Linked DNA regions of Tribolium castaneum. The protein of the gene in region 1 interacts with the protein of each later gene in a pairwise test. Links are inferred from orthologs where the notes say so. Each region holds a gene or a part of one and is shown on either strand. Other genes may lie near its edges. The genes, in order: Sld5 and DNA replication complex GINS protein PSF1.

The links.
Region 2: the proteins of Sld5 (region 1) and DNA replication complex GINS protein PSF1 interact in a two-hybrid assay, tested with the Drosophila melanogaster proteins (2 studies listed by BioGRID). The link is inferred for Tribolium castaneum from reciprocal best matches to the Drosophila melanogaster genes Sld5 and Psf1.

What each region holds. Positions count from the first base shown.
Region 1 is NC_087398.1:5,431,695-5,434,756, reverse strand, and holds Sld5 (DNA replication complex GINS protein SLD5), read right to left. Parts: upstream 1,677-3,062; 5' UTR 1,605-1,676; coding exon 1,193-1,604; intron 1,109-1,192; coding exon 855-1,108; 3' UTR 788-854; downstream 1-787. Other genes in the region: ATP-binding cassette sub-family C member 4, read left to right, coding at 1-203, 250-717.
Region 2 is NC_087400.1:16,460,173-16,463,375, forward strand, and holds DNA replication complex GINS protein PSF1, read right to left. Parts: upstream 1,762-3,203; 5' UTR 1,669-1,761; coding exon 1,597-1,668; intron 1,546-1,596; coding exon 1,481-1,545; intron 1,427-1,480; coding exon 973-1,426; 3' UTR 823-972; downstream 1-822.

The DNA.
Region 1 (3,062 bases):
TATCCGCCCTTTTTCGCCTTACGAAAATCGAAGGAGCCATTGAAATCGATGGAGTCAACACTCAATTCATCGGTTTGAATGACCTAAGGTCCAACATTTCAATCATTCCTCAGGAGCCAGTTCTCTTCTCGAATACAGTACGCTACAATCTTGACCCATTTGAAAAATGTGATGACAAGACTTTATGGAAGGCTTTAGAAAACGTGAGTTTTGTAAAACCGCAATATATCACTGATTTTTTTTGTTTAGGTCGAACTCAAAAATGCCATAGACAGCTTAGACCAAAGAGTGAGCGAGGGAGGTTCCAATTTTAGTGCCGGCCAACGCCAGCTTGTCTGTCTTGCCAGAGCTATAGTCAGGAATAACAAAGTGCTGGTTCTGGATGAAGCAACCGCTAATGTTGATCCGGCAACTGATGCTCTGATCCAAACCAGTATACGTAAAAATTTCAAAGAGTGTACAGTCCTAACTATAGCACATCGATTGAATACTATAATGGACTCGGACAAGGTTTTGGTGATGGATGCAGGAGAAGCGGTGGAGTTTGACCACCCACACCGGCTTTTACAAAATCAGGAAGGTCGTTTTAGTCGCATGCTTCGCGAAACGGGGAAAAATTTAGAGACCCAGCTGAAAGAAGTTGCAAAAAATGACTACGAGAACAAATTCGGACCAATAAGTACCAGTGATGAACAAAATGATAATAAGGAAGAATAGAAGATTTATTTTTTTAAAACTTAATAAATAATTGAGACGCTTTAAACTACTTAAAGAATGTTACTTAACATTGAGATTCTAACAGTGTATTTATTTTGAGTTTTTTGTTGATTTTTATCAAATATATTACATATATTTTATATCAATTGGACGTCTCCTTTTTTCACCAAATCAGTCACGCTGTTATATGACAGTATCATTTGCGAACCCACAGTTAAATCAGCGACTTCATCATCGTCACGGCTTGGGTCTATAACAACCCCTTCTACGGCAGTTTTAGCTTTCAAAAACACAAAACTGTTCATATTTGGCGCAACTATGTGACTTTTCCAGTCTTCGAATGGCAAGCCCGGGTAAAAATTAGTCGCATTTTCGAAATGCTGTTCTAAGTCTATAAAAACAAAAAAAAATAAGAAAACAAAACAAAAACAGTAACTAAAAAAATAAAATAGAAAAAAAAAACAAAATATAAAACCTTGTTTGTATTTAATCGCAAATTGTTGTTCGGCTTCCGTTAAATACAACTCTTCTTCTCTCTCGCCCCTCTGTTCCTCTTCTTTTAAAATATGCAAAACATAAGTTTCGATTTTTTCCAATCTGTGACGAAGGTAACTCGCCACCAAAAAACGAATCCTATCGACTTCCAATTGATGAATTCCTTTTTTAAAGTCGGTGGATGGTAAAGTCTCTAAATTTTTTTCCATGTATGATATTTGTCCCAGCACGCAATCGACAACTTCTTGTTTATGAGGGAGGATCTCAGGTGCGAATTTCTCATTAACCCACACTTCCTCCATCATTTCGATTAACTCGGCTGAAGTTAATTGCACGTTGTCATCGTCGTCGTCCTGAATCGTGTTTTCTAAATCTTCCAATTCCAAATCCATTACAAAATAACACAAAACACAACTGTGAACACTAATCAGCTGAAGCGCGGGAAAACGTGCTCAATTGCCAACCGTGAAACACCAAAACCCACTTTAACACGTAGTATTATTGGTTATCTAGCTAAGGGGCACCAAATAATGTATTCTCCACCATTATTTTGCGTTTCCGAATTTATCGACTTGTCTTTTGAAAAATTCCACTGGCGTGGTTATTTTTAAGAACTAAGGTTCGTCCTTGTAGTAAATTCAAACAATGTAGGCCATCGCCATTTGTTCAGATGTCACATTTAATTGTTAACTTTTAGCGCTTTTAATGAGTATTTTTAATGAGCGTGAAACCACATCCATACTCCCATCAATTGCATAAAAAATCACAAAACAAATTGTTCCGGTCGATTGTATGTAAATTACAAATAAACAGATATTACCATTCGCGTATCTAATAAATTTTAAAGATATAGACTTTCTCAGGGGCGTTGCACAATCTTCGCGATCCTTGTGGAGAACTTCTCGAATATTTTTTCCGCAAAAACTTGTTAATGAAAATTAAGTAGGTGAATAACTGAAATGGTTGCTTGCAAATCTTCAATTAAATTGCTGGAGCGTAACGTTTGTACGTCTTTTAAATACTGATGGCATTTAAGTTAGATAAATTACACAAATTTCGTCACTTTATGTAAGAAATTCGTACCAATTCTAGGCAATCGTGCCAATAATTTTTAGTATGAGGAAGTTTTTTCCATTAAATAACAAATTTTCCTTAGCAGTTTTCTTCATTCCGGTTTCCATTCGATTTATCTCTGGTACTTTCAGAATAAATAAGTCATTACGTGTCTGGTAGCCATCTGTTTGTTGTCATCCTACATGAGATTCATCTTATAATCATAACACTTGAAAGTGAACGGTGTTAAGATTATTGTCTGGAAAATTAAGCAAATATTTGCTCAGATCGATCAATAAAAGATCCACTTAAGGCAAGTCAACAATTGCTCGCAGCAGGGGGACTCTATAATGCAACAAGATAATTGATCGTACTTAACACTGATTTATGTAACAATTGTAATTCTTTCAATCTGTACCACGATCTTCTCATTTTTATTACATTTCCCGAGGCAATTTGTCGGTTTTGAAATTTATGTTGTCCAAAGAAGCAATGACAAAACTGGCAGAAGCCATAAAAAGGAGCAAATTGATGACCTCATGAACCATCACATCAGTCGATGAACTTTTTTTTCTTCGACAAACTCTCACTATCCATTGCTTCACCCTCGATACTACAGTTAGTTTAACAGTTTCTTAAATAATAATAATTAATTTTTTCCTTTCATAATTGATGGTTTATTATCGAACGTTTGCTAATCGATCAATTTCGAAATTGCTAATTTGCGACGCTGTCCCTTGTTGCCTTAGATAAATAGATCCAAAACGTTGTTTTCTTTAAAATTTCTTCACTTGTTG
Region 2 (3,203 bases), on another chromosome or scaffold:
TGTTGACTTTGAGGGTTACAACATTTGCCACCATGTTCATGCGTTGCGTGTGCTTGATTCTGATTGGATGTTATTGTTTGGGTTCAACCATGGTTACTGGTTAGTAGAGACATGGTAGTTAGTAGATCTGGATAAACAATACACACTAATGCTTTTAGGGTCTACATTAGAAACTTTTCGACTTCTGATTTTGTATACAATCCAAATCGACCATTCTGAGTTCAACTAAATTAGTATTTTTAAACTGGCTGATTTTCCGGAACTACGAGAAATTATCATATGTCAATTTTTTTTATATAAATTTTGATTTGCAGGGGTTCATTTGAAATATCACAGCTCGTGAACCCTTTATAATAAGTGAATAATTCTTTTTGCATTTGATAGCCAAAGGTTTGAAAGATCTTCTAAAATCTTCTGTATTGTCAACCGTAAAACTGCCTTACTTTACATAATTCACAAAATTATAATGAAACATAATTAAATATTATTGTTTTACTGCTTATTTGATAATGAACCAGCTAAAAATTAAATAAGTTTGACAATTGTTGACCATTTTGCAAGTTCTACTTGATTAACTATGAAAACTGCGAAGTAGTGATTTAACTTCAAACTTGGCGCCAATTTTTTGTAGTTCCGAAAGCTCAGCCATTTTGAAAAAAAATAAGTTGAATTCAGAATAGTCGATTTAGATCGTGTACAAAATTTTAAAGCTCTAGCTATATTACAAGTTAAAAGTTACTAATGTAGGCCCTAACAGAATCACCGTGTATAACTCAGGTATCAATTTACTTACAAACACTAAAACATGGAATTTAATCAGAGTTGGCGACACTGGACGCTTTTATTTTACGAAATAAGATTAATTTAAGATTATGTTACAACTAATTATTTAGTATTGAATCACCACGTACAAAAATAAGGTAATTTAAATATTTTCAAGGACATTTGATGTTTAAAAAAAAGGCGCCAAATTCAAACAACGTGTTCAAGGACCCCTTGTCGTATTAATTCCTCGCATTCGCTTCTCGGTAAGTAATGACGACTGTTTTCCTTCAATAACAACACCGAACCATCGTTCAATTCAAACTGTCCATAATCCGTTAGACACCTGACCTCAATATACAAAGACTTTGGCGGTTTTAAATCCACAGCTAAATTAATCCCTTCATCACCAATTGATCGCATATATTGTACTAAATTGCTGGAATATTTCGAAAACCATTCAATTTCCGATTGACTTAAATTCGATTTAACATCTGGCGGTAAAATACTGCCGAATTGCCAGCGCATGTTTCTGAGACATTTTAACCGATTGTAGTGATAAGCCAGAATGCATCGAATGTTCCGTTTGATAGCCGCATGCCGTATTTTGACTGTAGGTAAATAAGAGGCGTGATTCATAACCCGACTATCTTCAGAAATTTGACTGAAAAAAAAAACGCTGAAGTATTGGTTTCGAGGATCAAGTGTGTAAACTTACGCATCTTCTTGGTTTTGAGTAATGAGTTGCTTGACTTCAGTGTTGATTTCATTGAGAAGATCAGTCTGAAAAAAAATTGTAAAATATTGAGTGAGGAACAATTTGGTAATTTTTACGTTGTAAGGCGGTAAAGCGTCCCGGTTTCGAGATAATTCTTTGATCAAAACGTGGGCTTTCTCACAAAACATTTCGATTTAAAATTTTGTCTAAATAGTTTTCTAACCTAAAAGCCCGCCAAATGACAGTAAAGGTGCATTTATAATGACAGGCCACAACTAAAGGCGGGTTTACACGAATCACGCGTATCCTTGTGTGATGTCACATCTACGGTAAGTTATGCTGCCCTACTACGCAAAAATTTCGTCACTACTTTTACGTATTTTTTGAGTTATTTCATGTTTCTTAAATTTTCTATGGTATCTTTATTTCATATAATTGAAGTATGAAATTTTGAACTTTAATAAACGATTTATTTGCAAAAATGATATTGGCACGTTATTTTATGCATATCTTTTTAGAGTGCTGTTTTTCAATATACGACAATTGAAATACAAATTTTCTTGAAGTTTCGAAGCAAAAAAGTCGTAACTACAAAAAACATTTTTTGAAGATAATTAAACAATTGATGGCAAAATATTCGTATAATAAATTAACGAAGAAGCAATCTAGATGGACAGTCAATGCTCTTACAAAGTGGCTAATAAGTATGGCTACAGCTAATTTTTTTATTAAAATGTGTTCTTTTACAGACAAAAGTGTTATTTAATAACCATTATTAACTTTAACTTATTTTTTGGTCAAAGTTCAGGCGGAAACGAGCTAACGTTAGATAAAGACAACATTTCCAAAGCAGAGAAAATTTTATTAGTTAGATATTTTTTTAATGAGATAAGCATGTGTTACATCAAGAACTAAAAAAATAAATTTGACCCTTCTTGCTGTGTAAAAAAAGTTAGCCTTGTATCCCCAGAAACAAAATTAATGTAAATGAAAATTTTATAGACATCTAAAACGATAGAATTTAAACAGTACTTTTAAGCAAATACAAGATTTCAATTAATTATTATTTAATATTTAACTGTATCCATACTTTTTAGCAACCAAGTATAAGAGTAATATTATAATATCTAATAATAACAATGAATACTTAACTAAATAGACATTTTTAATTTTATTTTTGGGGCAAATTGTTCCAAAAATTATGCTATTAAGAAATGAAATGGGACAACTAAATATTTTTTTTATCACTTTTGGAAAATTTTGTTAATTTTTTTAGTTCGATGGTAATATTTCATGACGGGTCTTGCACAATGCAGTCTTGTCAACTGAAAATTGTAGTTGAAAAAATAGGCCTTAGTACCAAATGACTTTATTAATTTAATTTTACTACTTACATGTTTCTAAAGGAATAAAATCACAGATATATTGATTATTGTTTAACAGATAGTAGTAACTATGACTTAACCCTATAAAAATCTTGAATAAAACACTTCAATATGAAAACAATCATCCAAAGTTATCACAAAAAATATTCTTTACAAGAGATGATACAATATCAGGAATTAAAATAAGAAACATGTTACGCCTGCTGCATACAAATATTTCTGTATAAATATAAAGTACTTTATAAAAAAGAATACATCAATGCGCAGTAGTAGCTATTAACACATTTAGTATATACAGGGTGATGAGCGTGATTTAAACACGCTACAACAAAACCTGT